Linked DNA regions of Stegostoma tigrinum. The protein of the gene in region 1 purifies or fractionates together with the protein of each later gene. This does not show direct contact. Links are inferred from orthologs where the notes say so. Each region holds a gene or a part of one and is shown on either strand. Other genes may lie near its edges. The genes, in order: mad2l1, kif20a, cdc27 and anapc7.

Region 1 (7,319 bases):
TTCCAAATAAAAAACCTGTTAGATTACGTGTTGTCTGATCATTGACCTTGTCCATCCCAGTCCAACACCAGCACTTCCACATGAAAGAAAGCGAGACTGCTAATTTAAACAGTAACTTATCAAATCTCAAACATTGAAAAGCAGATGCAATAAATTATTGTGAAGTACTGCGTCTATGCGCACAAATGCAGCAGTTTTTAGATAATGTTTTAAGAGGCAATAAAACAAAGGTCAGTTAATTGATCCGTGATGACAATTGTGGATGGAGGAATGAGTCAGAACAGGCTCCTCACACCTTTTCAATAAAGGATGTAGAATCTTTAATATTCACTTATAAAGATTTGAAGGAATACAGGCTCAGACATTTGATGGCCAGAGTTCTTGGAACAGAGTAAATTAGAGGACCACGTGGAATCCTCAATGCTTCTGACTATGAGAATTGCTCAGGAAACAAATTCTTTAGGGTAATTTGCACGTCCAGAGCCCTTTGAAGAACCCATTAAAAGAGGGGAAGTTGAAGAATCCCAACTTGCATGAGCTTTACAGATACTAAAGAAAAATGGGTTAAAAAATGTAAATGTAATTCCCACTTAACTACTGACCATCCCTAATTCCCCACTGCACCACTCCCTACATTACACTGCACACCACCAAACCCCAACCGTGTTGGGATGATATACATACTCTCACTGACCTGAATGTGAGATGTACCTTCCTTCTCCTCCTGATCTTTTACTTCTGGAAGTCACATCCTGCCCCTTCCTGAAATCTGAGTCACAAACCCAAGCTCCCACTGATGGGCCAGGTACCCCTCACTCTGCCTGATAGTCTAACTTCCAACACACTCAACCCCAGGCCTGATGTTCTCCACCCACCAGTCAGCCCCAAGACATCCCCCTATCAAGAATTAAACAACCCACAGACCCCAATTACCCTAAACACTCATTCACACACCAGGTACATGCATACTTACCTATTCACAGGAGCTGTCAGCAGTGCTTTGCCTTGCTGGACATTTAAATACCAGACCATGGCACACTGACTACGGCCACAGGGATTGGGGTTTTTAATGATTATTTTCCTCACTGCTGGATTCACAAATTTTTGGACAGGTTCATAACAGGAAGCCCCTATTGGGAATCTTGAGATTTCTTTACATAAAAGATAAAGCAAATAAATTTTAATACAATTGGGGATGGAAATAGAACTTCCAAACCCAATTAGCAGAGCAAAGCAACACAATAATGTATGCATGGAATTGTTATAATGCAACACTCTGCATGGGCGGCATGGTGGCTCAGTGGTTAGCATACAGTCTCACAGCGCCAGGGACCCGGGTTCGATTCCAGCTTTAGGCGACTGTCTGTGTGGAGTTTGCACATGCTGCCTGTGTCTGCGTGGGTTTCCTCTGGGTGCTCCAGTTTCCTCCCACAGTCCAAAGATGTGCAGGCTAGGTAGATTGGCCATAGTGTTCAGTGGTGAGAGAGTCTGGGGGAGATGCTGCAAGGGACGGTGTGGACTTGTTGGGCCGAAGGGCCCGTTTCCACACTGTAGGGAATCTGACCTAATCAATTTGGATCACAAGCCAAGCTTCATGCTTCAGTCCACAAATCTCCCAGCCTAAAAAATAAATGCATAACTGGATGAATAATCTGAAAAACAGAAAACAATTGAAGTTTAAACTGAACACCCTCAAAACATAACCCAATTTCTATGTTCATAATTTGGGCCACTGCTATATTTGAATATTTTAGCACAGTTTATTAAGCTGGCTGTAACAAATGACTAATCGTTAGCATTGCAACAGTTCTAAACAATGTCACAGTTAACATTCTGACAAATGATATTATTTGTAAAAAGCTTTCCTAATATTTCTGAGGACTTATTTGTATTTTATCCCACAAAGGCAGAATTAAAGTAATCATTTTATTTTCATTAAACGTCATAAAACAAAGAATTGCAGATGCTGGAGATCTGAAACTAAAACAGAAATTTACCAGAGAAGCTCAGTAGGTCTGACAGCATCTGTGGGAAGAAAGTAGAGCTAATGTTGAGTCCAGTGACTCCTCTTATAAAGAAGATGCTCTGATGAAGAAGCACTGGACTTGAAACATTAACTCTGCTTTCTTCCCACAGATGCTGATAGACCTGCTGTGCTTCTCCAGCAATTTCTGGAGAGGTTAGATTTCTCGGCTATTTCCTTGATCACCATTAACAATTTTCCCATTTCAAACTGTAATGAGCCTGCATTTGTCTTCACTTTTTTTCACCTTTTTACATGCTTATATAATCTTACTGCAAAATTTTCAGCATAGCTTATGGTTTTACTCATTTTATTTTTGCCCTCAAAATCAATCTCTAGGTCATCCTTTGGTGAATTCCAAATGGCTCCCATGTCTCAGATTTACTACATTTTCTAATAAGTTCACACAACTCTTTGGATTTAATACTATTCCTAATTTCCCTTACTGGCAACAGCTGAGCTTCCTTTGCCTGAGCATTGGAATACATTCATTTGTTTCTTTAATATTCGCTATTACCTAGTCACCATAATGCCTAGTAAGCAATCACAGTTAACTCAACACTAATATCTTTCTAGTTTCTGTTCTTTAGATTCCATACCTGGTTTCAGACTGGATTACTTCATTTCAAAACCTGATAAAGGAATTCACGTAATGGACACTTGTCTACAATTAAAAAGGTACCCATAAAATTATTATGGCTGTGAATGGCTCAAAACTATCTTTGACAGCACAAAGAGCTCACACAAAGAATAGGTTAACATCATTTGCGAGCGCAGAAAGCAGTAGCCATTTTTAAAGATGTGTAATAGACACAGTATATTTCCTGTAGTGCCAAGTTGATCTCACAGAAAAGCCAACCCACTATTTTTGACCAAAGTCTTGAATTTTCCCATATATTTTACTAAAATTTCACCTTAGTTATTCACAGATAATTTATATTTTAAGGCAATTGCTGGACGGTGTTCATTCTCATCTGTCAAGGAAACTGCCCAAAATGTACCCTTACTCCAACGATGGGGATGCAAGTTGCATTCAACATTTTATTTTTCAAACAGTAAAATGGTAGTGACCTGTAGCTGGAGATAAAGTGCTGCCATCCAGTTTCAGGTTTGGTGGGATTTTGTTTTCAACTCCAGGATACTGTTGCATTTTAATAGCAGGTTTTTTTTATTGGGTTTCATTTCTTTGTCAGAGTTTCAAAAGAATGAACTCAGTAATGGAGAGAGCTCGCATCCACTTATTGTTTCACCGAGGGTGACAGAAAGCTTTTGGACACTGGAGCAAAAAGGAGAAGATACAGGGTCATTTTGTGAAAGAATGATCAGGTTTTTATGTACGAGGAGAATAATCTGTTTGTTCTTATCTGCTGACCTTAAGAGTTTGAGAGAGAGCATTCGATGATGGTATGACAGATTATGGCTCTCACAGCCCTGATCATTTACAACAATGCTGGATCACAGAAGTATCGGCAACTACTGTAATTCGTGATCTTTTTTCCTTTATTTGTTGAGGGATCAATTGGGCTCCTGTTAATGATGTGGTACCCATGTAATAGTCGACCCCATAAATGTAACCTTAAGAAATAGTCTAAAAAACAGCATTTATATTTGTGTAAAAGACAAGACACAGAGGAGCAAAGTAGAGATAGCTGATAAATACTGGCACTGAATGAATAGTTCAGAAGTCAAGATAAAACACTTTTAGCCTGAAATGTAACACCGTGACCTATTCTGGGCTGGATTTGCTACCCTAGAGTATCATTTTTGCTATGCCTATGTTAATCTGTGTCAGATCGGGTATATTTTTAATACATTGACAGTACATCAATACAGGATTAACTATCTCACCCTGTGATTCTCATTTACAGTTAATTTTCAATCAACCTTTTCAATACCAGAAGAATAGCTTTTGCAGCAGTATCTTTAGAATGCTGCATACAATTCTTGTCACCCTCCTGTACAGAGGATGGTGTGAAACTTGAGGGGGTGTTGAAAAGATTAACAAAGATGTCATCTAGACTGGAGGGTTTGAGTTATACAGAAAGGACTGAATAGGCTGGGGCCTTTTTCCCCTGGCAGAGGCACTGAGAGGGTGACCTTATAGAGACTTATAAAGTCATGAGGAGCATGGATGGGGTGAATAGCCACTGTCTTTTTCCTACAGTGAGAGAGCCCAAAATTACAGGACACTGGTCTAAGATGAGAGAGGAAAGATTTAAAAAGAACCTGAGGGATGACTTCCCCACACCCCCTCCCCACACAGAGGGTGGTAAGTGTATGGAACAAATTCCCAGCTGATGTGGAACGGTTCTAACAATAAATGTCCAAAAACACTGACAGATCACTACTAAAGCTATATGAAACATAAGCCACATTCATAGCCAAAATTATCTACTTTTAGAAATAACTCTCTGTGCAAACAACTGCAGCATTTAAAAGGCATTTGGATTTAGTATATGACTATGAAAGGTTTAAAATGAATATGGACCAAATGCTGGCAAAATCAGTCTAGGTCAGATTGGGATGCCTGGTTGATGTGGACAAGTTGGACTGAAGAATGTGTTTCCATGCTGTATAACCATTAAATCTGTACAGCACAGCTGCATGACTGCATGAAAATAAAATCAATGCACACAGGACTTGGTTGTGACCAACTGACATTACACCTCCATCTATAAGACAGGGGAGGCTGCAGCTAGGTTAGCGTTCAGAGTACTCGATAGCAGTCAATCCTTTCTGATTGCACAAAATCAAATCTTGGACAGCCGCTGCTCAATATAACAAAGTGTGGAGCTGGATAAACACAGCAGGCCAAGCAGCATCTCAGGAGCACAAAAGCTGACGTTTCGGGCCTAGACCCTTCATCAGAGAGGGGGATGGGGAGGGGGTTCTGGAATAAATAGGGGAGGGGGGGGGAGAAGAGACGGACTGAAGATGGAGAGAAAAGAAGATAGGTGGAGAGGAGAGTATACGCGGGGAGGGGATAGGTCAGTCCAGGGAAGATGGACAGGTCAAGGAGGCGGGATGAGGTGGCAGGTAGGAAATGGAGGTGCGGCTTGAGGTGGGAGGAAGGGATGGGTGAGAGGAAGAACAGGTTAGGGAGGCAGGGATAAGCTGGGCTGGTTTTGGGATGCAGTGGGGGGAGGGGAGATTTTGAAGCTTGTGAAGTCCACATTGATACCATTGGGCTGCAGGGTGCCGAAGCGGAATATGAGTTGCTGTTCCCTGCAACCTTCGGGTGGCATCAATGTGGCACTGCAGGAGGCCCATGATGGACATGCTGTCTGAGGAATGGGAGGGGGAGTTAAAACGGTTCGCGACTGGGAGGTGCAGTTGTTTATTGCAACCGAGCAGAGGTGTTCTGCAAAGCGGTCCCCAAGCCTCCTCTTGGTTTCCCCAATGTAGAGGAAGCCACACCGGGTACAGTGGGTAGATACAGTATACCACATTGGCAGATGTGCGAGTGAACATCTGCTTAATATGGAAAGTCATCTTGGGGCCTGGGATGGGGGTGAGGGAGGTGGTATGGGGGCAAGTGTAGCACTTCCTGCGGTTGCAGGGGAAGGTGCCGGGTGTGGTGGGGTTGGAGGGCAGTGTGGAGCGAACAAGGGAGTCACGGAGAGAGTGGTCTCCCCAGAAGGCAGAGAAGGGTGGGGATGGAAAAATGTCTTGGGTGGTGGGGTCGGATTGTAGATGGCGGAAGTGTTGGAGGATGATGCATTGTATCCGGAGGTTGGTGGGGTGGTATGTGAGAATGAGGGGGTCCTCTTGGGGCGTATGTAGCAGGGGCGGGGTGTGAGGGATGTGTTGCGGGAAATGCGGGAGACGCAGTCAAGGGCATTCTCGATCACTGTGGGGGCGAAGTTGCGGTCCTTGAAGAACGTGGACATCTGGGATGTACGGGAGTGGAATGCCTCATCCTGGGAGCAGATGCAGCAGACGTGGAGGAATTGAGAATAGGGGATAAAATTTTTGCAGGAGGGTGAGTGAGAGGAGGTGTATTCGAGGTCGCTGTTGCAGTCGGTGGGCTTGAAACGGACATCAGTGTCTAGCTGGTTACCTGAGATGGAGACTGAGGTGTCCAGAAAGGTGAGGGATGTGTTGGAGATGGCCCAGGTGAACTTGAGGTTGGGGTGGAAGTTGTTGGTGAAGTGGATGAACTGTTCGAGCTCCTCTGGGGAGCATGAGGCGGCGCCGACATAGTCATCAATGTAACGGAGGAAGAGGTGGGGTTTGGGGCCCATGTAGGTGTGAAGAGGGACTGTTCCACGTAACCTACAAAGAGGCAGGCATAGCTTGGGCCCATGCGGGTACCCATGGCCAGCCCCTTTGTCTGTAGGAAGTGGGAAGAATCGAAAGAGAAGTTGTTGAGGGTGAGGACGAGTTCGGCTAGGCAGATGAGGGTCTTGCTGCAGGGGGACTGGTCGGGCCTGCGGGACAGGAAGAAGCGGAGGGCCTTGAGGCCATCTGCATGAGGAATACTGGTGTATAGGGACTGGACGTCCATGTTGAAAATGAGGTGTAGGGGGCCAGGGAACTGGAAGTTCTGGAGGTAGTGGAGGGCGTGGGTGGTGTCACAGACGTAGGTGGGGAGTTCCTGGACCAAAGGGAAGGAAACGGAGTCCAGATAGGTGGGGATGAGTTCGGTGGGGCAGGAACAGGTGGAAACAATAGGTCGACCAGGGCAGGCAGGTTTGTGGATTTTGGGAAGGAGATAGAAGCGGGTGATGCGGGGTTGGGGAACATTAAGGTTAGAGGCTGTGGGTGGGACGTCCCCTGAGGTGATGAGGTCATGGATGGTGTTGGAGATGATGGTTTGGCGATCACTGCTCAATATAGTTTGTCTTTTTAAAAATCCAGCACACGCTATAGAAATTCATTTGTCACAGGTGATGTGGCTTGCAGAGTCTATATATAGATTAAAGTTATCCATTATTGCTGGATTACTACAATTAGTGTTGTTTTACCTAATCATATTGTTTTATCACGTTATGGGTCCACCAAATCACTACTAAAATGTTTTAAGAAATACAAAGCACGTTCGTACTCAAAAACACCTACTTTTGTAAATAACCCTCTGTACATACAGCCTAGCATCAAAAGCTTCAACATTAAAACTTGCTTAACCTACATAACTGACTGCAGCTCTAAAGCAAACTATTGCTGGTAAATGCCTTGTGGCACCTCATTGCCGATATTTTGAGCACAAGCTTACCTACTTTGCTTCATGTCACACTTAATTTTGCTGAGAATGACCAAACTGGAAGTCGGGGTGTGGGGAGGAGACAGTTACATT
Region 2 (7,425 bases), on another chromosome or scaffold:
CTGAGAGGTGCTTGAGAGATGTCTATGTATTGTAGGCTGCCAGCTGTAGTCCAGCCAGCTTGGTTTTAAAAGAGCATTATGGGATCCTGGATAAAATATGGAAATAATGTAATATTTTGCGACAGGGACGTCATCAGTCAGCTGTTTCAAGGACGTGATTTATTCCTGATGAATTAATTTATCCAGTAATGTTCTTCCTTTAAAAAACTTTGAAGCTGCTGGTACAGAGATGTTTCAGAGCGTCAGTATTGTCCTATAGTTTGGAGTGAGCTGAGGAGCCCTTTCACAACTTAAGAGTAATCAAGTTTCCTGGGTCTGAGTGTGGATATTTCAAGGCACCTATTGGTCTTTTCTTGTAGCTTGTAAGAGGATTTTTGGCAAATTAGTATTTGCCTCTAGAGTACGTTAGTGAAAAAAAAACTGGTCTTTTGTAACATTTGGATTTTTACTAAACCAACATCCGATACTCAGGTTCACAAAGTCACCTGGCACTAAGTCAGAGATAATGGGAACTGCAGATGCTGGAGAATCCAAGATAATAAAGTGTGAAGCTGGATGAACACAGCAGGCCAAGCAGCATCTCAGGAGCACAAAAGCTGACGTTTCGGTCCTAGACTCTTCATCAGAGAGGGGGATGGGGTGAGGGTTCTGGGATAAATAGGGAGAGAGGGGAAGAAGGACCGAAGATGGAGAGAAAAGAAGATAGAAGATAGGTGGAGAGGAGAGTATAGGTGGGGAGGTAGGGAGGGGATAGGTCAGTCCAGGGCAGATGGACAGGTCAAGGAGGTGGGATGAGGTTAGTAGGTAGGAAATGGAGGTGCGGCTTGGGGTGGGAGGAAGGGATGGGTGAGAGGAAGAACAGGTTAGGGAGGCTGAGACAGGCTGGGCTGGTTTTGGGATGCAGTGGGGGGAGGGGAAGATCTGGGCTGGTTTTGGGATGCGGTGGGGAAGGGGAGATTTTGAAGCTGGTGAAGTCCACATTGATACCATTGGGCTGCAGGGTTCCCAAGCGGAATTTGAGTTGCTGTTCCTGCAACCTTCGGGTGGCATCATTGTGGCATTGCAGGAGGCCCATGATGGACATGTCATCTAAAGAATGGGAGGGGGAGTTGAAATGGTTCGCGACTGATAGGTGCAGTTGTTTATTGTGAACCGAGTGGAGGTGTTCTGCAAAGCGGTCCCCAAGCCTCCGCTTGGTTTCCCCAATGTAGAGGAAGCCACACCGGGTACAATGGATATCAGAGATAATGGGAACTGCAGATGTTTCCATATTAAGCAGAGGTTCACCTGCACATCTGCCAATGTGGTATACAGTATCCACTGTACCCGGTGTGGCTTCCTCTACATTGGGGAAACCAAACGGAGGCTTGGGGACCGCTTTGCAGAACACCTCCGCTCAGTTCGCAATAAACAACTGCACCTCCCAGTCGCGAACCATTTCAACTCTCCCTCCCATTCCTCAGACGACATGTCCATCATGGGCCTCCTGCAGTGCCACAATGATGCCACCCGAAGGTTGCAGGAACAGCAACTCATATTCCGCTTGGGAACCCTGCAGCCCAATGGTATCAATGTGGACTTCACCAGCTTCAAAATCTCCCCTCCCCCCACTGCATCCCAAAACCAGCCCAGACTGTCTCAGCCTCCCTAACCTGTTCTTCCTCTCACCCATCCCTTCCTCCCACCCCAAGCCGTACCTCCATTTCCTACCTACTAACCTCATCCCACCTCGTTGACCTGTCCGTCTTCCCTGGACTGACCTATCCCCTCCCTACCTCCCCACCTATACTCTCCGCTCCACCTATCTTCTCTTCTCTCCATCTTCGGTCCACTCCCCCTCTCTCCCTATTTATTCCAGAACCCTCACCCCATCCCGCTCTCTGATGAAGAGTCTAGGCCCGAAACGTCAGCTTTTGTGCTCCTGAGATGCTGCTGGGCCTGCTGTGTTCATCCAGCTTCACACTTTATTATCTTGGCACTAAATCAGTTTAGTTAGCACCCTTTCTCCATATTCCCATTCATGCTGAGAATCTACTATCCATTATTTCTGTTAGCACTCTCCCTTCCTACATCCTCTCAGTTACTGCAGACATTTAGTGGTGGCAGTGATGTACTGGTGATATAACAAGATTAAGGGGTATGCCATTTAGAACAGAGTTGAGGAAAAACTTCTTCACCCAGAGAGTGGTGGATATATGGAATGCTCTGGGCCAGAAGGCAGTGGAGGCCAGGTCTCTGCATACTTTCAAGAAAGAGATGGATAGAGCTCTTAAAGATAGTGGAATCAAGAGTTATAGGGATAAGGCAGGAACAGGATACTGATTGTGGATGATCAGCCATGATCATAATGAATGGTGGTGCTGGCTTGAAGGGCCGAATGGCCTACTCCTGCACCTATTGTTTATTGTCTATTAGTATAGCAATCCAGAGGCCCAGGCCCATATTCTGGAGTTACAGCAGCTGGTGGAATATAAATTAATAAGTTTGGAATATTAAAGAAAACTAGTTCCAGTTTTGTTGTCTCCATTACTATCACTATCATAAAAACCCATCTTGTTCTCTGATGTCCCACAGAAGAGAAAAATCAGTCAAACCTGCTTTGTCTGAGTGATACAAAATGACAGACCCACCGCAATGTTGTTGACTCATCTGCAGTCTGAATGGCCTAAGAATTAAGCCACTCAGTTCAACAGCAATTAGGGGTGAACAATAAATGCTAGTCTTATAAGCAACACCTGAAAACCATTAAGGAATGAAACAAATTCTCCTATTTCCTATATTACAAACTGCACTAATTCCAGCTGTCTTGATTTGGACTACAAATAGGTTGGATGGATTCAGAGATAACACAGAGTGGAGCTGGAGGAACACAGCTGGCCAGGCAGCATCAGAGGAGCAGGAAAGCTGAAGTTTCAGGTTGGGACCCTAATTCAGAAAATGAAGAAGGGTCCCGACCAGAAACGTCAGCTTTCCTGCTCCACTGAAGCTGCCTGGCCTGCTGTGTTCCTCCTACTCCACTGTGTGTTATCACTGACTCCAGCATCAGTAGTTCTTACTATCTTTGGATCAGATTTCTGATAGGTTCTATTAGCTCTGCTATTTTTCCAAACCTCTTTGTAACACTTTTTTAATTGCAATATTTACATTGCACTGAAATAAATTCAGTCACAGCTACTATAACGTATAGCCTTGGAACAGTGGCACAATGGTTAGCACTGCTGCCTCACAGTGCCAAGGGCCTGGGTTTGATCCCACTCTTGGGTGACTGTTTGTTTGGAGTTTGCATGTTCTGCCTGCGTTTCCTCTGGGTGCTCCAGTTTCTTCGCACAGTCCAAAGATGTGCAGGTTAGCTGGATTGGCCATACTAAACTGCCCATAGTGTCTTGGAATGTACAGGTTAGGTGGATTAGCCATGGTAAATGCAGAGTTAGAAGGATAGGGGTGAGTCTGGGTGAGATGCTCTTTGGAAGTTCAGTGTGGACTTGTTGGGTTGAATGGCCTGTTTCCAAACTGTAGGGATTCTATGAATACTTCAGGAAAATATGCTTAAAATTACCTCTCAAATTGAGGCACGGCTTCCAAACTGACAGTGGTTTCCTTTCCTCTTTCAAGCTGTGAAAAAGATAAGACATAGAAGCAGGAGTCGGCTATCCAGTCTGCCCACCATTCTTGGCTGATTGATAACCTTCAACTCCACTTTCCTGATGTGTTCGCATAACCCCTGATGGTCTTAGTGTTTTTTTTTATTAATCATTATCTCAGCCTGGAATATCCTAAATTACTCAGCCTCAAAAGTCCTCTGGATTCAGAGTTCCACTACATTTGAGAGAAGAATATTCCTTCTCAACCCTGTCTTAAATGAGCAGCCCCCTCATTTTGAGATGATGCCCTCCCACAAGGGAAAGCAACCTTAGTGCATCGACCCTGTCAGGTTCCTTAAGAATGTTATATGCTTCAATAAGGTCGCATATTATTCTTTTAAACTCCGATGGACACAGAGCCAACCTACTCTACTGGACTTCACAAAGCAGTCCATACCTGGTTAATATTTATCTCACTTATAAAGCAAACAATGGGCAAGTGGAAAAATAACATTTCCCTGAGAGAAATCTTGCCATTTATCTCCACGAAGGAACAACTATGAAAATGAAACAAATAGAACCTGTCTTCCTCCAAACACTGAGACTACCACAGGTAGAAGAGTACTGATGTTGGAAGTGCGCATGCGCTAGCGACCGGCGTGACCTACGCCGTGGGTGGACATGCGCACAGCCGTGAGCAGCGTTCTTTCGGGGAGGGGAGGGACTGCGCAGCCGCAAGGAATGACCCCCCCACCCCAAACACCAAGACAAAGGAGGGTGCTTCCCCGGGCGCGCATGCGGAGTGAGGTCACTGGGACGCGGTCGGCCGTTGGACGGGAACAGCGGCGCGCTATTTGAAAACAAGGGAGTCGTTGGCGAGCGGTGCGCGGGGTCGGATTACTGTCAGGCTAGTGCTGTCTTCGCTTGGGACTCTCACCACAGGTATGGTCTCTATCTCCTTCCCTCAGGTACAGCCCGAACGGTAGGAAAGAGCGCCCCACACGAAACAAGGCGGTCGTCCCCCCCCCCGGTCTGCGCTGCAGCTTCATAACGTCGTTCATGGCGGCGTCCCTCTTCCTGCCCGGGCGATGAGTCAGTGGCTGCAGGCCCTACACGCAACTCAGTCAACAAAAGGGCAGGCAGCAGCAGCAGCGGCAGCAGCAGCAACCGCCCCCTCTCCCCATCATCAGCCCACCCGGTGTGCCTGCTTTCCTCCGCAACCTCCCCCCCCCCCCCCCACCAACCCACCCAAATCCCCAGCCCACCGGGTGTTCTTCCCTACCCCCTTGTGCCCCATTCTGCACCCAACCTCTCCCTCCACATCCAGAAGAAGGTTAACTATTCACCCAGCTGGACTCTCTTGTGTGTTTGCCCGTTTGAGGTAGGGGTGTTCTCTTTTACTTGCTGTTTGAGTAAGGGTTGGGATGTTTTCATCGGCGATATGCTCCCCAACTTCTCTAGGTTAGAAAGAGTGTCTGTGGATTGGTATTGGTAATATAGGCTGAACGACGCCCCCCCTTCATTGCTGTGACATAGAGCCCTACAACATGGAAACGGACCAGTCCGTGCTGAATGTAATTTTTAAACTAAACCAGTCCCACCTGTCTGCTCCTGGCCCATATCCCTCTGAACTTTTCCTATTCAGCTACTTATCCAGTGTGTTTTAACTGTTGTAGATGTACTCATATTCACCACTTCCGCAAAGTTCATTGTGCATGAGAGGCACCCCCTGTTTTTAAAAAAAACAAAATTTGCCCTTTGTGTCTTTTTTTTAGAAGTCTCTGTCCTTTCACCTTAAGTATGCCCTCTAGATCATCTTGGTTCTATTGCCCTATGATACTGGTGGCTCTTCGTGGTTTGGTATTTTCCTTTGATCTGTCTGTGGGCCTGGCTATACACTTTGCTGACTCCTTAACAATTGGCCATGTTGCTTTAAGAGATTAAAAAGGTATGTGCATCTAGGTGGTAGTCTGTTTTTGTTTTGAAAATTTTGGAACCTGATTTTAAATTCTTACATGTGATGGGATTTGCATTATGTGGATTTAATAACCCACCAGTAGAAGAATACACGCTTGCTGAGCTATCGCATGGGTTGCTGTGGTGTTTACCCTATAGGGTGCTAATCTCTGGGTTGACTGATTTTTTTTTTGTTTAGTTTATTGCTGGATATATATTTCTAAGGATTATAGTTTTCAAAACTTTTTATGAATAGTAACTAGATGCAACTGGAGGTGATCTTCCACAGCAAGCAAATGTGGAAACAATTTGACAGCAAGAGGCCACATCCAAAAAACAGGGAAGTAAGTGATCTACAAAATAATTGAGTTTGACTATTCTGCCCTTGGGCAGTGGTTTTATTCAGCCTAAGATATAAAGAGGCACTTGAGCTGGTTCCCTGAATGTCTGTCTGTTTCTTACAGACCCTTGCCTGCTAGGTGACTCTATTGACAAATCTTGGGCATGCTGTCTGTGATTTCTTGAGCATTAAATTTTTCTAATGTGGAGAATTATGGGCAGCATGTCCTCAATTTTTGTGTAATATGCAATGGATTGTGTGCACTTGTAATGTTGGCTCTTGATCTATGAAAGATGTGCTTTATTTCTGTGATTTGCCACTCAGTATAACTTTACTTTATGTAATCAAAAGATTCTTTTATAGATGGGCTGAGGCTACTATAGAAGCTGCAGGGCAAATCAGAAAAATTAATCAATTTAAGACTCCTCCAGCAAAAAAAGCATGAAGTCGGTTTTCTGCACTTGTGTCTCTGGGTGACTGGGTTCATTAGCATGAGAGACTGATGTCTGATTCTAATGACGACCCATGGGTATCACTTCCTGCAGAGTAATAAATATGAGATTATGCATTTTTTTGTGCTGTTAGAAATTAAAGGAAATGTAATTTCCTATCTTGGTGGCATTCAAGTTTTTGCAGTTTGAGATTAATTGTCCTCTGGTTTAAATCCTTGTGAAATTTTATTCAAACAATTTTTACTGTTGACTTTACCAAATATCTATGTTGTATAGTCTGTGAATACAGTTATTATTGAATGAAGCTCCTTTACATACAAGTTCTTGATGTGCATAGTTTTATTTTCAATTTATTTTTGTTTTTATTAACCAACTTGTCAGTGAAGTTTTCAGTTATCTTTATGAAAACCTAGCTTACATATGGATAAAGGTAGCTTCAGAATCAATTTGTGCTTTTCAAATTTGCACATTCTGACATCTCTTTGTGGAATTTTGCACATTTGTCTCAGCAAGGAAATGCAATCTAGAGCCATGTGACTTGGACAAGGCAACCAAAAGTTTTGAAACGGTAGTAATGCATCCTGTACCTGTGAAGATACATTCTGCTTTTGAATTCAGATGGAGAAGCTCCCTGTTCTCTCTAATGATGAGAAATTGATTTGGGGTCATTATCTTTGATTATTATTAGTTTATATCTATTAAATTTTCTCTGAATTTACCGATAAGCATGTGAGCCATATGGACCATAAGAACATAAGAAATAGGAGCAGGAGTAGGTTATTCAGCCCTCGGCATTTGCTTCATCATTGTTTAAGATCGTGGCTGATCTTCCCCAAACTTCAACCCTCCTTTTGGTCAGCTCCTCGTAGCCACCCACTCTCCAATTTTTAAAAATCTATTTCCTCTTTAAATACTTTGTGATCTAGCCATCACAGCTCCCCGTAATAGTGAATGACCGGAATTCTACTTTTTCTGAGCAATGAAATTCCTTCACAGATAATAAAGTGCGAAGCTGGATGAACACAGCAGGCCAAGGAGCACAAAAGCTGACGTTTCGGGCCTAGACCCTTCATCAGAGAGGGGGATGGGGTGAGGG
Region 3 (7,828 bases), on another chromosome or scaffold:
AGCTTGTGATTTCAAATAAAATTGTAGGATAATCTGGTGTTGTGTGATTTCTCACTTTAAGTAAAGGCATAACTTAGACCTCGGCTGGTGTTTGTATTCAGTTATGCGTGCCACACTTTAGAAAGGAAGTGAATACATAGGGAAGAGTGCAGAAGAGATTTCAAAAAAATAGCTCCAGGGATGGTTGTCTTCAGTTTATGACAACAGATTGGAGAGATTGTGACTGTTTTCCCTGGAGAGAAAACTAAGCCGACAACCTCATTCAAAAGAACATGGAACTTGGCAACACCACAAGCCACTCACCAACCGGCCATCGAACTGCATCATTATTCCTTCAGGGTTCCTGGGTCAAAATCCTGGAAATCCCTTCCTAACAATGACACAAGGACTGGAGTGGTTCAAGAAGGCAGTTCACCACCACCTTCTTTAGGGATGAGTAACAAGTGCTGGTCCAGACAACAGCAAGCACATCCCATTAATGAAAAAATATGAAAACTTGAAAGCTCTGGGCAGAGTAAACAGGCAGGAATCGTTGCTGCTTAAAAAAAGGATCAAGATTGGATTTGATTTATTTGTCACATGTACCAAAGTACAGTGAAAAGTGTTGTTTCATGTGCTATCCAGTCAAATCATACCATTCGTAAGTACATCGGGGGGTAATAGAACATAATGCAGAATACAGTTACAGAGATGAAGAGAACGATCAACTCTAATAAACAAGATGAGAGGGTATAGGTTGAAAGTGAGAGGGGAAAGATTTAAAAAGGATCTAAGGGGCAACCTTTTCACACAGAGGGTATGCTTGTATGGAATGAGCTGTCAGAGAAAGTGGTAGAAGCTACTGCAATGATAACATTTGAAAGTCATCTTGATGGGTGTATAAATAGGAAGGGTTAGAGGGATATGAGCCAAATGCTGGCAAATATCTGGTCTGCATAGATGGGTTGGACTGAAAGGTACACATCACTATGGCGCGATAAAGCTATACGGCACTGTAACTCTAAGTCTGTTCATAAGTTAAATAACAGCAAGGAAGAAATTGTTCTTGAATCATTTGGTCTGTGTTTTCAAAGTTTTGTATCTTCTGCCTGGAAGAGGATGGAAGAGAATATAACTGGGTTCTGAGGGAGGGTCAGATGTTGCCAGACCTGCTGAGCTTTTCCAGCAACTTTGTTTTTGCTCCTGACTCACAGCATCCACAGTTCATTTGGCATTTATATAGCTGGGGTTTTTGATTGTGTTGGCTGCTTTCCTGAGGTAGCAGGAACTGTAGACAGATTCAATGGAAGGAAGGCTGGTTTTCATAGGTGACAATTTTTCACCACTTTTGGTGCAAAACAAGCATAGAATGCATTGAGCTCATCGGGGAGACAAGCATTGTTGTTACCGATTGTATTCAGCTTTGTTTTGTAGCCTATTATATCATGTAACCCTTGACACAGTAGATGTGTGTTTGTGTGGTTAGTCTGGTACTCTAGTTTAGGAGATAGCAAGAACTGAAGATGCTGGAGTCAGAGTCAATACAGTGAGGAACTCTAGGTCAGGCAGCATCAGGGAGCAGCAAAGCCGACGTTTCAGGTTGGGGCCCTTCAGGACTGGGGAGGGGGAAGGGAGCTGGGAAATAGACGGAGGGAAGTGGGGCTGGAGGAAGGTGGTAATAGGTGGATGCAGGGTAGTGGGGATTGGTCAGTGGGAAGGGTGGGGTGTATAGGTAGGAAAGACGATAGTAAAAACTGCCGATTCTGGTGTCAGAGATAACACAGTGTGGAGCTGGAAGAGCAGGAAAGTTGATGTTTCGGGTCGGGACCCTTCTTCAGAAAAAGAAGAAAGGTCCTGATCCGAAATATCAACTTTCCGATTCCTCTGATGCTGCCTGGCCTGCTGCATTCCTCTAGCTCCACACTGTGTTATATGTGAGAAAGAAGATGGACAGGTTGTGTCAGGTCAAGGAGGAGGCTTGGACACGGGATGAGGCTGGGGGTGGGGAGATTTGCAAACATTAAGATTGATAAGTCCCCAGGGCCAGACCAGATTTATCCTAGGTTGCGCCGGGAAGCCAGAAAGGAAGTTGCTAAACCACTGGCAAAGATCTTTGCTTCCTCACTCTCCATGGGAGTTGTACCAGAAGATTGGAGAGAGGCAAATGTTGTTCCTCTTTTCAAGAAAGGGAATAGGGAAATCCCTGGAAATTACAGACCAGTCAGTCATACGTCTGTGGTCAGCAAGGTTTTGGAAAGAATTCTGAGGGATAGGATTTATGATTATTTGGAAAAGCATAGCGTGATTAAAGGGAGTCAGCATGGCTTTGTGAGGGGCAGGTCATGCCTTACAAATCTTATTGAGTTCTTTGAGGAAGTCACGAGACAGGTTGACGAGGGTCGAGCAGCGGATGTGGTGTACATGGACTTCAGCAAGGCATTTGATAAGGTTCCCCACGGCAGGCTCATTCATAAAGTCAGGACGTATGGGATACAGGGTGATCTGGCTGTCTGGATTCAGAATTGGTTGGCTGACAGGAGGCAGAGAGTGGTTGCAGATGGTAAGTATTCTGCCTGGAGGTCAGTGCTGAGTGGTGTCCCACAGGGCTGTGTTCTTGGGCCTCTGCTCTTTGTAGTTTTTATAAATGACTTGGATGAGGAGGTTGAGGGGTGGGTTACTATGTTTACTGATGACACAAAGGTTGGAGGTGCCATTGATAGTATCGAGGGCTATTGCAGGCTTCAGCGAGACATTGACAGAATGCAGAGCTGGGCTGAGATATGGCAGATGGAGTTCAACCTGGATAAATGCGAAGTGATGCATTTTGGAAGGTCGAACCTTAATGTTGAATATAGGATTAAAGGCAGAATTCTAGGCAGTGTCGAGGAACAGTGGGATCTTAGTGTTCAAGTGCATAGCTCCCTCAAAGTTGCCACCCAGGTGATAAGGTTGTTAAGAAAGCATATGGTGTTTTGGCTTTCTTAACAGGGGGATCAAGTTTAAGAGCCGTGAGGTTATGCTGCAGCTCTACAAAACCCTGGTGAGACCACACTTGGAATATTGTGTCCAGTTCTGGTCGCCCTATTATAGGAAAGATGTGGAGGCTTTGGAGAGGGTGCAAAGGAGGTTTACTAGGATGCTGCCTGGACTGGAGGGCTTGTCTTATGAGAGGTTGACTGAGCTCGGACTTTTCTCTCTGGTGAGAAGGAGGAAGAGAGGTGACCTGATCAAGGTGTACAAGGTAATGAGAGGCATGGATAGAGCCAGAGACTTTTCCCCAGGGCAGGATTGACTGCCACGAGGGGTCATAGTTTTAAGGCGTTAGGAGGAAGGTATAGAGGAGACGTCAGAGGGAGGTTCTTCGCCCAGAGAGTTGTGAGCGCATGGAATACTTTGCCAGTGGTAGTCGTGGAAGCAGAGACATTAGTGACATTTAAGCGACTGCTGGACATGCACATAGATAACAGTGAATTGAGGGAAATGTAGGTTAGGTTATTTTATTTTTGGATTAGAATATTCCACGGCACAACATCATGGGCTGAAGGGCCTGTACTGTTCTGTACTTTTCTATGTTCTATTTTAAAACTGGCGAAATCTATGTTGAAGCCATTAGACTATCGGCTCCCAAGGTGGAATATGAGGTGTTGTTTCTCCAATTTGCATGTGGTGTCATTATGATACAGGAAGAAGCCCAGGTTGAAGTAATGGATTTGTTTTAGTATGTAATTGAAGAGCTTCAGGGCTGAAGAGTCATCCGTGGTTTGCAATGGGAGAGATCCTTGATTTTTTTGGAGTGAGGAGGACAACTTCCTCAGGGTGGGTATCCTGGGAAAAGGCTTCACATTTGGGTTTTCAATCACCTGGAGATGGTAAGAACTGCATATGCCGGAGTCACAGTCAATGCAGTGTGGAGTTGGAGCCTGGTATTGTCCTTTGGCATCCCTAATAGTTTTGTGAAAATTGTACCTAGATTTCCTGTGTAAGTCAGGGTCACCCAACTTGATTGCTTCAGACCTAGACTACAGTAGTGAAATGATTTGCAAACACAGCAAATGTGGGGCACGAAGAAAACTCCATCACACAAGGAATGAGGGTCTGGAATGAGGAAGAGAGTTCTGAGGTAGGGTCACTGAAGCCGAAACGTAAATCTGATTTCTTTCCGCAGATGCTACCACACTTGCCGAGCTTTTGCAACAATTTCTGTTTTTGTGCCTGGAATGCACTGTTTGGAAGTGTACAGGAGCTAGATTCAGAGCGTTCAGAGGGCGTCAGACGATTATTTAAATCGTAACGATATGCAGGCTTACGTTGAAAAAAGCAGCAAAATGGCGCAGTGATAATGCAGGCACAATGGGCCAAATGGTTTCCATCTGCACGAAAAGAATTTGCAATACACTGGCAATTCTTTAGAAATTTCCAGTTACTGCTCACAGCAGCGAAGGAAGCAAAAGCAATATTAAATCTTACGGTCCACGAGGTGAGCATCACCGTAGAAGGTGACCTGCAGAATATTACCATCAGCTGGGATGGACTCAGGACTATACGCCCTCCACTCTCACTCCTCACAACTCTCACCTAACTAATTTCCGGTCGTGAGGCGACAACTTCCGGCAGCGTTCGGCGATTCCCGACAAGGTTCGGCAATTCCCGGCATAACTCGGTGATTTCCGTCCGGTGTGTCGTCGTCCTGCTGGCCGTTAGGCTACGGTGGCTGTGACTGTTGAAATTTGAATCCTGGGCCGAGCTGTGTGTGATGAGAAGCCGCGCTACTTGGTACAGACTGGTTCTTACATCATGACAGTGCTGCAGGAACCCGTTCAGGTAAAACGGCCCTGGGGATTCCAGGCCCGCTGTCACTTACAAGTCCGACCCGTGTGTGTGAAGAGTGGGCCGCCTGCTCCTACCTTCCCGGCCTGGCGCGGTCCGGCCAGAGGAGTGGGCCTGTGTATCTTGAGGGGGTGCGAGGGGACTGATTGTCATTGAGTTTTTAAACTGGCTATGAAGTCTGTATTAGAGCCGTGGTTCTGGAATTGGAAAAGCTTTTTGTTTTCCAAACAGCGGTACTGTTTGGTGGATTTATGTTAATCCAGCATTCTGTCAGGCCTAGTTTACTCCTTGGTTTTTTAAAAAAAACGATTTTGAGGCAAATACAACAGTTAGGCATGTTTTGTTAACAGGATGATCACGCCTATTCGGTATGAAGATTGCTATCCTTTTTCTTCCCCGCAGAGCTTTAAGGCAATCCTGCAGGTTTCGAGAGAAACAGAAAATACTTAGTTTTTGGTGATGGTCCTGTTGGAATTTAACTGCTTTCTTCCTGTTTAGTAGGTGCTGAGAGTGTAATGGTGGGTGTTGGAATGTTCACTTCTGAACAGCGAAGTTTCATGAGGTAGGATTGAGATAATTGGCTCGAAACATTGTGTATATGGGGGAAGAAAATTTTCAGCTATGTAGAATGGAGTACTAATGATTACAAACTCTGCAGGTAGTAGAAACATATGAGCAAGCAACAGGGGAGATCATTCAGCTCCTTGAACTTCTTTTGTCTTTCAATAAGATCATGGATGATCTGTTTTTAACCTACTTTTTTGATAACTTTTCACCCTGTTGCTTAACAAGAAGTTTTCTGCCTTGACTTTAAAGCATTTGAAGAATCTGCTGGATGATCTTGAGAGTTCCAAAGATGCATGACCTTTAGAAAACTGTTCTAAATGGACAACACGTGACGCTTGCATGATCTGTGGTGATTAGTTTGCGTGTCATGATGAACATTGTCAAGTTGGTTGATCGAGTCTGGAATTACTGTGAGCTGACTGATTTTGCCAAGTTGCTGATTTTTCTTAGTTGCAATCAGAAAAACATCAGCTTGTGCTCGTTCAGTGAATATAAACTTTGAATGCTATGGAAAATATACATGTCAGTTTTTGGAGGAAAAAGTTCTTCAGATCAAAGGGATGAGAAAGAAAGGAGAGGGCAAGAAATAGTGATAGAATGGAAGTTGAGGCCCAAGTCTGTAACTTTGATTTGAGTGAATGTTGATTTTGATTGAATTTTGAGTATTTTAGTTTCCAACTGACATTGCTTAAAGTAGATGATCTGATCATTCATCTAGTTGTTGTTCGTGCCAACTTGCTGTGTGAAAACTGGTGACTGCTTTTCCTACAAGTTTACATTTCAAAATATTATTCAACTGGCCACAGAATTGCAGAAAATGCAATATCTTTGCAAGTGTGTACTTTGTGTCCTTTGTCCTAGCCTACAAGCAGCTTTGTATGTTTTTGAACGGTGTATTGTAACTGCTTTGCTGATCTTGAGGAGCATCCAGCAGCTTTGGGCCAATGACGAGGAGGTGGTGATTGATGGTTTCTCTGTCAGCACAGAAACTAGTCAGAGTCAGTTCCATTTCAAACAAAAGGTGTTACTCAAATTGTAGAAAGCTAATCATGGCTGATCTTAGACATTTAGGGTTTCATATGCAGAAACAATCAGAAACTAATGGACAGGTTTGAAAATAACTTTAAAAGATTAGAACAATCTATAGTCTGTATAAGACTGAAATGAAAAGGGCTAGAAGTTATGTTACACTTATATCAAGTTCTGATTTAGGCCACATCTGGAGAACTTTGATCTATTCAGGACCTGGTACTTCAAAGATGTTCAGTTAGGTGGGATTGCAGTCACCAATGCCATTCTTGCCTACTAACCTTGGATGGGGATCATCGCCTTTCAGGTAAATCTACAGCGAAGCAATGGGTGATATTCAGAAAGGAGCTGGGGAGAATACTTGGAGGGGCTAAGGGATGAATCCTGGTCAAGTGCAACTTAGCTTTGTGGCTGCTGAGTGCCATTGAGGAGCAGACTGGAGGCTGGAGCAAAACAGGACAATTGGTGGTCTTGGGCCTGGCGCATGTGCTGAGCTGCTGAAAATGGACTGTCATTTGAAACCTTTCTACTGTGGTAACTACCTTTTGTAGGTAATGCTTCTGCATTCCTTTAATCCCTTTTCTATAAGAACACCAAGATGTGTCCCTCTGTACTTCTGTATTGTAGCTCAAGTGATAATGAAGTACATTCTACAGGCCCAGCACTTAGCCTTGAGGGGTAAGGGGCAATAAGTTCTGAGAATCCTGGATGTTTAGGGCAAATCAGGACTGGATAAGGAACAAGAGTAGGCCAGGTCTAACGGGAGCAATTCAGTTGTGGCACTTGAGTACAGGAAGTTCAGGTGGCAACTTTAAAGCAATTAGAAGAGCAAAAGGGGGACATGAAAAATTATTTGCAAACAGAATTAGGGAGAATCCTAAAACATTTTATAAATATTTTAAAGGGAAGAGGTTAACTCAGGGAAGAATAGGGCCCATTAGGGACCAAGGGGGCAACCTGTGTGTGAAGCAGCAGGATATTGAAAGGATGTTGAATGAATATGTCACTTCAGTCTTTATCCTCAAGGAGAATGTCGGTATAGAATTCAGGAAAAGGCATTATTTGAGGAAGTTGCGCAATGTAACATACGAAATGATTGGAATTGAATTGAAATGAAAGGAAATTGGAGGCTCTGTCAGACTTAAAAACAGACAAATCCCTTGGCCTGGATGAATTCCATCCCAGGTTGCTGTGGGAAATTGCAGGGGCACTGGCATAAATTTTTAATTCCTCTCTGGCCTCAGGGAGGGGAGGGTGCAAGAAGACTGGAGGATAACAAATATGATAGCACTTTTTAAGTAGAGTTGAACTAGGAAATTACAGACTGGTGAGTCCCACATCAGTGGTGGGGAAGTTATTGGAGAAAAATCTGCAAGAGTGAATTAATATCCATTGGGAAAGGGATGGGTTAATTAGGGATAGTCGG
Region 4 (7,806 bases), on another chromosome or scaffold:
AGTTCACGAAGGCGATTGCGAATTTGTTTACATTGGGAGAGTTTACAAGTGAACAAGAGGATTATGCATTACGCTTTTACTTTGCAGTTTTTGGGAGCTTAGAAGAAACATCTCATAACTAGGAAAGCTAAAAGATTTTTAGTTTTAGTTGGGAGCAGTTTGCAGAAGTCTTGGCCAAAGCTAGATGTGTAAAACAGCTGCTCTTGAGAAAGGGAGGTAATTTAGGACTGTTAAGAAATATGTTCCCTCAGTGAACAGAATTTAAGGTTCCAGACCAGAAGTATTTAGTTTAAAACATAAAGGGATTATTTGAAGCCAAAAAACTCTAAGTTCAGTGTATGAAGGCTCCAAGAGGTGATCACATTCTCAAGACAGGACACTGAAGTCACAGTTAAATTAAACTTTATAAATATGAAATAGAAGTGCATTATCTCTGGTATGAGTACTAAGGAGGAGTGATTTTGGGATTAATGACATTGTATTTTACCTTGAGTTTTGAAATATTTACATTTATGTAAAATTCAATGGCTTATTCTATTTTATCTTCATTTCTTTTGAGTAATGAAACTTGTTTTATGTGAAATGAAACTGTAGCATTGTGTGTGTGCATTTCAGAGAAAGGCTACTTCATTAGGCAGCACAGTGGCTCGGTGGTTGGCACTGCTGCCCCAGAGCGCCAGGGACCTGGATTCAATTCCAGCCTCAGGCAACTGCCTCTGTGGAGTTTACACATTGTCTGTGTGGGTTTACTCCAGGTATTCTGGTTTCCTCCCACTGTCCAAAGATTTGCAGGTTCGGTGGATTGGCTATGCTAAATTGTCCATCGTGTCTAGGGTGGGAAATAAAGGGATGGGTGTGGGTGGAATGCTCTTCAGAAGGTCGGTGTGGACTTGATGGGCTGAATGGCCTGCTTCCACACAGTGGGGATTCTTAAAAATAAACAAAATATGATCAAGCTAGATTTCAGAGTTTGGGATCTAACTTGTCCAGTAATAAATCATTAAATCAAAATGTGACTTTTCTCTTCTACCTACCATTTCAGTAGTTTAACCACTGTAGTTCATGGTCACAGTAGGAATGGAATGAAAACACACCTCAATCTGTATTGCAGCATTTTAAGACCAAATGCTATCCATCAACTCTCACAGCTAAGAGGATAACTATATTTTAATTCTGATGTGAAGCATACCAAAGGAAAAGTTCAGGGCCTGCATGGTCCAATTAGTGTGAAAGGCAAGGCTGGCAGGTGTAGGGAACAGGATGACTACTGCATTGAGGCTCTGGTCAAGAAAGAGGAGGCATATCGAATCAGGGAATCCCTAGTGCAGAAGCAGGCCATTTGGCCCACTGACTTGACACCAATCCCCCGAAAAGCATCCCACCTAGACTCATTCCCCCCAACCTTATTCCCTGTAATCCTGCATTCCCCCATGACCAATCCACCTAACTTACCTCATCCGTGGGCACTTTAGCATGGCTGATTCACCTATCCTGCATATCTTTGGACTGTGGGAGGACATATAGAGAACATGCAAGCTCCACACACAGTTGCTCAAGGGTGTAATCAAATCCAAGTCCCTGATGCTGTGAGGCAGCAGTGCTAACCACTGAGCCACCATGCTACCTCAATTGTCAGGTATAAGCAGCTGGGATCAAGTAAATCCCTTGAGGAGTATAGGGAGTATAGGAGTACCTTAAGAATGAAATTAGAAGGGCGAAAAGGGGGCAGGAGATAATTTTAATGTCTAAGATAAAGGAGAATCCAAAGAGATTCTACAAGTATAATAACAGCAAAAGAATAACCGGGGACAGAATAGGGCCCCTTAAAGGTCATCTGTGCGTGAAGCCATGGAAGATGGGTGAAATCCTAAACAGATATTTCTTGTCAGTATTTACCATGGAGAAAGACATGGAAGCTAAGGAACTCAGGAGAATAAATACTGATGTTTTGAAAAAAAGCCCACATTGCAGAAGAAGTGGTGCTAGAGGTTCTCAAAGGACAAAGGTATCGATCCAGTGTAACACCAGAGATTGAGAGGAGCTAGGGGAGAAACTGCAGGGCCCCTAGCAGAGGTATTTGTATCATTGACAGGCATGAGTGAGGTGCCGGAAGACTGGAGGGTGGCTAACGTGCCATTATTTAAGAAAGGGTGAAGGAAAAGACAGAGAATAACAGACTAGTAAACCTAATATTAGTAGTGGGTAAGTTGTTGGAGGGGATTGAGAGACACAGGGAGTACATGCACTTGGAAAAGCAAGGACTGATCCCGGATTGTCAGCATGGCTTTGTGCAAAATCACGTGTCACAAATGTGATTGAGTTTTTTGAAGCGATGACCACGTAGATGAAGGCAGAACAGTCTACATGGACTTTTGCAAGGCCTTTGACAATCGTAGATTGGTAAGTAAGATTACACCACATGGGGTCCAGAGAGAGCTAGCCAACTGGATACAAAATTGACTTGATGGTAGGAACAGAAAGTGGTGGTACAGGGTTGTTTTTCAGACTGGAGGCCTGTGATCAGCAGTGTGTCAAATGGATCAGTTGTGTCCACAGCTGTTCATCATTTATGTAAACAATCTGGATAAGAAAATAGGGGGCATGGTTAGTAAGTTTGGCAATGACACCAGAATTGGTGGTATAGTGGACAGTCAAGAAGGTTACCCAAAAGTACAATGGGATCTTGATCAACTGGGCCAGTGAACCAAGGAACGGCAGATACAGTTTAATTCAGATAAATGTGAGGTGTTGCATTTTGGTAAGGTAAACCAGGGCAAGACTTCCACACTCAATGGCAGCACTCTGGGGAGTATTCTTGAACAGAGAGACCTAGGGGTGCAAACATGATTTCTTGAAAGTGGTAACACAGGTAGATAGATTGGTGAAGACAGTATTTGGCATGTATGCCTTCATTGGTCATGGCACTGAGTACAGGAGTTTTGACATCATGCTACAACCATACAAGACATTGGTAAGGCCACATTTGGAGTACTGCATATAATTTTGCTTGTCCTGCTGTAGAAAGGATGTTATTAAGCTGGAAATGGTGCAAAAACATTTACAAAGACATTACCAACATTAGAAGGTTTGAGTTATAAGAAGAGGTTGGAATGTTTTTCCCTGGAGCGTAGGAACCGAGGGGTGGCCTTGTAGAGGTTTATAAAATCATGAGGGACATAGATAAGGTGAATAGCCAAAGTCTTCTCCCTTGCTGGGGGGAGAAGAGAGGAACTAGAGGGTTTAAGGTGAGAGGGGGAAAATTTACATGGAGCCTGAGGGGCAACTTTTTCAGACAGGGTATATAGAACATGCATATATGAAATAAGCTGCCAGAGGAAGTGTTAGAGGTGGGTATTTAAAAGACATTTGGACAGGTACATGGCTAGGAAAGATTTAGAGGGACATGGGCCAAACGCAGGCAAATGCTCTCTGATGAAGGGTCTAGGCCCGAAACGTCAGCTTTTGTGCTCCTGAGATGCTGCTTGGCCTGCTGTGTTCATCCAGCCTCACATTTTATTATCTTGGAATCTCCAGCATCTGCAGTTCCCATTATCTCAAATGGGGTTAGTTCAGTTTTGGAAACCTGGTCGGCATGAACAAGTTGGGCCGAGGCGCCTGTTCCAGTGCTGTATGACTATGACTCCATAACATGTAACAATTCAAGTCTTTCAGGGGACTAGCAACAGGCAACTGTAATACGCAGTGAAAGCGAACAGAAGATATGCAATCTGGTCAAAAGTAAGAACACATTCATCATGTCAGCGTTCGCGGCTGTGAAGCGCCATAACGATTTTTCGATTTTACAATCGCGTCAGACTGACAACATCTGGATTTTCTATAACTTTGACGCCTGTAAAATTCGTGCGTATAAACTGCCAATCTTCCAAAAATGACTGCAGTCCCGTGGCCGCAAAATATTCCAGGAAGACACTTTGCCAGTCTGTCATAGCGATAACGCGGAGGGAAGGAGAGGGGGAAGCGGTAAAAAAAGTTACGAAACAATGACTTTTAAAAGAGTCTGACGACCGATGACATAACATAAATAACGTCCCAAATGTTCCTCTTTTAACAATTAACATATAGTAATAGCCAAAACGAAAATAGTCAGAAGGAAGTGGGGAGCTGAAAGGGGGTCGAGACTCAGCAGCAACAACAGTCCTTCCAGCCACAACTCACATCTGCAGCAAAGTTTGAGATCCCAAGGGCGTCGCGTACCTGCCAACTGTTTCCTAAGGAGCAGGGCGGACTGGTCTGTCATTACTCAAGGATCGGATCAAACCAAGTAAAATATGAAAATCAAATAATAAAGGTAAAGTAGGTGGGTCAGGTAGATAGTCAGAAGCAACCGCTCCAAGCCTTGCGGGCCCACGCTATACCAAGCCTCGGCCTGCGGCCTTACAGGCTGCTCACATCCCGGCTCCGGCATCAAAGCCGCACATGCGCCTTCCCCCTAGCAACGCAAAGCTGCCCGCCATGTGCCGCTTTACTTCAACGGCTATTTCTAATCTCGCGGTTGGCAAACAAACGTAGCTATATAATTTTAATTATTAAGTACGTTACGAAAAAAAAATACACTGCACTGCCACGGTGAATCATAGTAATTCAGGCGCAAAGTGAGCAGCTCTAGCTGCAGGGAGGTCCACAGCGCCATTTTTGATGCTGTTAGTGCTACTGCTTTAGCGTCGTCTTCACTCAGAGCACTGATCTGACAGAAGAAAAGATGAACGTTATTGACCACGTTCGGGATATGGTGGCCGCTGGCCTTTACTCCAACGTGAGATTACTTAGTAGCCTGTTACTGACTATGAGCGACAATAATCCGTAAGTGGTTGGTTTTACCTGGCGAGTTCTCTCTCAATTGATTCTATGTGTTCCGAATCCTCTCCCCCTGACATGGTATGGTTTTAAAATGCAGTTTGCTCCCGCATCTCCAAATAAGTTCCGAACCTGTTAAAAGTTTGAGGCTTAAAATGATTTTGTTCTAGTCTCAAAGTGGAAGGGTGAAAGAAAAAAGTCTTGGTTCATAGGTACCACTGGTGTAAACTGAATGGTGAATGGAGTGTGACAGTCCAAGCCTTTGATTGTATTATCATTACGTGTTCCAGCCATATAGTATTGTCACCTCCGAATGATTTAAGCTTCTGTGAGTTTTTATGACTTCAATCAGAAGGGAATGTTGGCCTTTATAAACATAGAACTAAAATACTAGGGGTAGAAGCCATGCTCCGTTAACTAAGGCCCAGGTTAGACCATTACCTGAAATAAAACAGAGTCCTGGGCATAATCCCTTAGAAAGGATTATAGACCTTGTAAAGAGTGTAATATAGATTTACTCAAATGATACTTTTATTGCAAGGAAGAAGTAAACAAAAAAGGAACTTTTCTTTTAAGGTTTCTTTTAAAGTGAACCTTGGAATTTAAAAGTTGAGGGGTGATTTGATTGAGCTTTTCAAGAGACGGTGATATTAGGACACTACTTTATATACAGTATTGTGGTCTGGAACTCTTCTACAAATGATAGTGGATGCTAGCTCAATTGATTTGTAAGTTTAAATAGATTTTTGATAGAGATTAAATAGATTCTGAAGATTCAAAAGTATAATCTATGTTGGTTTTGTGTCCCCACCAACACATTGAATTCAAACTTGCCAACTGAATATAAGTCTTGCTTGTTTGAATCTATCCCAATCTCTACATTTTTTTCCGACTGGCTTTTTGTACCTCCAACCCTTACTTTTCTTCACCTCTAGTAGCAGTGCTTTCGACCTTCTTTTAATGTTTTGGGTAAAGCCATTATTGCTAAACTTTCAATAACCTTTGCAATTCTCACCATAGCTTGATACTAGTTTCTCTCCAAACCATGTAAAGTATGATGGACTGTTTTCTTTTTTAAGGATGCTTTTTATTACAATTTGTTGATCTATTCGTGGGGATGGACTAGTTTGTATTTGGAAAAATTGACCTTGGGTAAAATGTTAAATCTAGGGTCCTATTTGCCATATCAATTTTGAAAGTTCTATTAATTTGATCAGAGAATTGGAGGAATTCTGATGCATAGTTCATGTACCTTCCGCCATCAGCAGTGCCAGAAAGCTGTTTGTCTCAATGTAACTAGGACTTTGATTCTGCAACCTGCCTATTACATTTACCTGAATTTTGGTGTTATATTTCATTGTGTTTCGCTGGGAAGTTGTTTTCGTTAGGCGGGGAGATTAGGACCCGTGGGCACAGCCTTAGAATTAGAGGGGGTCAATTTAGAACGGAAATGAGGAGACATTTCTTCAGCCAGAGAGTGGTGGGCCTGTGGAATTCATTGCCATGGAGCGCAGTGAAGGCCGGGATGTTAAATTTATTCAAGGCAGAGATTGATAAATTCTTGATCTTGCAATGAATTAAGGGCTACGGGGAGAGTGCGGGTAAGTGGAGTTGAAATGCCCATCAGCCATGATTAAATGGCAGAGTGGACTCGATGAGCCGAATGGCCTTGCTTCCACTCTGTCTTATGGTCTTATGGTCTTAAAAGATGCAACCATTCTAGTAGTAAACAGAGGGACCTCGGGGTTCATGTACATAATTTTGTGAAGTTTGTATCACCAGATGGACATGGTGGTTTAAAAAGGTGTTTGGCACGCTTGCCTTCATTGTTCAGTCCTTTTGACTAAAGGAATTGTGAATTCATGTTGATGACATTGGTGAGACCGCTTCTGGAGCACTGTGTGCAGTTCTGGTCATCCACTTATATGAAGGATATTATTAAACTGGAGAAGGTTCTGAAAAGATTTACCAGGATGTTGCTGGGTATGGAAGGTTTGAATTATAAAGATTGGATAGGCTGGGACTTTTTTCACTGGAGTATATAAGGTTGAGAGGTAACTTTATAGAAGTTTATAAAATCATGAGGGGTATAGATAGGATTAATGGTAGGTATCTTTTCCCTAGCATGGGGTATTTCAGCACTAAACGATGCATTTTTAAGGTGAAAAAGGAGAGAGATTAAAAAAGACATGAGTGGCAAATTTTTAAAGAGGGTGGTTTACGCGTGGAATGAACTTTGAGGAAGTGGTGGATGTGGCACAGTTACAGTGTTTAATAGACATTTGGATAACCAAGAAGAGGAAAGGTTTGGAGGGATAAGGGCCAGAAGAAGGCAGCTGGGACTAGTTTAATTTGGGATTATGTTCGGGTTAGACTGATTGGACTGAAGGATCTGTGTCTGTGCTGTACGACTCATGATGGTGTCTTGAAACAAACTGTTAAACCTCTGGAAAGAGAAGAGATAAAGGCAGATGTTTCTGATTACCTCCCTTAAAGCTCTTCATATACAATGACCGCATGGTATTATTGCCAAACTATTAATCCAGAAACCCAGGCAACATTCTGGGTTCGAATCATGTCGTTGCAGATTTGAATTCAATAAAAACCTGGAATTAAGAGTCTAATGATGATCATGAAACCATTGTCAATTGTTGGGAAAACTGAACTAGTTCACTAATGCCCTTTTAGAGGAGGAAACTCATCTTCAACTGGTCTGGCCTACATATGACATCAATTTGATTGACTTTTAACTGCCCTCTGGGCAACTATGAATGTGCAGTAAATGCTTGTCTAGTCAGTGGTGCCCACGTGCCATGAACAAAGAGAAAAAAACTTTTATAATATCTGACAGATAATTTTGGATGTTCTTTTAAGATGTGGCTTTTACCAGAAAAAAAATTCACTTTTTGAGTGAATTATCTTCTTTCTTTTTCGCTTCAAATTTGTTCATTATCTGAATGTTAACCTGTCTACTTGACAATGGTCATTACA

What was found.
Region 2: the proteins of mad2l1 (region 1) and kif20a purify together in Homo sapiens (affinity purification with mass spectrometry; 4 studies listed by BioGRID and IntAct, with this or other methods). This does not show direct contact. The link is inferred for Stegostoma tigrinum from reciprocal best matches to the Homo sapiens genes MAD2L1 and KIF20A.
Region 3: the proteins of mad2l1 (region 1) and cdc27 purify together in Homo sapiens (affinity purification with western blotting; 29 studies listed by BioGRID and IntAct, with this or other methods). This does not show direct contact. The link is inferred for Stegostoma tigrinum from reciprocal best matches to the Homo sapiens genes MAD2L1 and CDC27.
Region 4: the proteins of mad2l1 (region 1) and anapc7 purify together in Homo sapiens (affinity purification with mass spectrometry; 3 studies listed by BioGRID and IntAct, with this or other methods). This does not show direct contact. The link is inferred for Stegostoma tigrinum from reciprocal best matches to the Homo sapiens genes MAD2L1 and ANAPC7.

Annotation. Positions count from the first base shown.
Region 1 is NC_081354.1:68,625,510-68,632,828, forward strand, and holds the start of mad2l1 (mitotic spindle assembly checkpoint protein MAD2A), read right to left. Parts: upstream 3,189-7,319; 5' UTR 3,174-3,188; coding exon 3,095-3,173; intron 1-3,094. UniProt on the Homo sapiens protein: Component of the spindle-assembly checkpoint that prevents the onset of anaphase until all chromosomes are properly aligned at the metaphase plate.
Region 2 is NC_081366.1:76,636,869-76,644,293, reverse strand, and holds the start of kif20a (kinesin-like protein KIF20A), read left to right. Parts: upstream 1-4,344; 5' UTR 4,345-4,523; intron 4,524-4,887; exon of another isoform or gene 4,888-4,962; intron 4,963-7,425. UniProt on the Homo sapiens protein: Mitotic kinesin required for chromosome passenger complex (CPC)-mediated cytokinesis. Following phosphorylation by PLK1, involved in recruitment of PLK1 to the central spindle. Interacts with guanosine triphosphate (GTP)-bound forms of RAB6A and RAB6B.
Region 3 is NC_081384.1:40,773,126-40,780,953, forward strand, and holds the start of cdc27 (cell division cycle protein 27 homolog), read left to right. Parts: upstream 1-4,649; 5' UTR 4,650-4,773; coding exon 4,774-4,800; intron 4,801-7,828. UniProt on the Homo sapiens protein: Component of the anaphase promoting complex/cyclosome (APC/C), a cell cycle-regulated E3 ubiquitin ligase that controls progression through mitosis and the G1 phase of the cell cycle.
Region 4 is NC_081379.1:24,282,049-24,289,854, forward strand, and holds the start of anapc7 (anaphase-promoting complex subunit 7), read left to right. Parts: upstream 1-4,624; 5' UTR 4,625-4,720; coding exon 4,721-4,821; intron 4,822-7,806. Other genes in the region: ube2g1b (ubiquitin-conjugating enzyme E2G 1b), read right to left, coding at 4,216-4,258. UniProt on the Homo sapiens protein: Component of the anaphase promoting complex/cyclosome (APC/C), a cell cycle-regulated E3 ubiquitin ligase that controls progression through mitosis and the G1 phase of the cell cycle.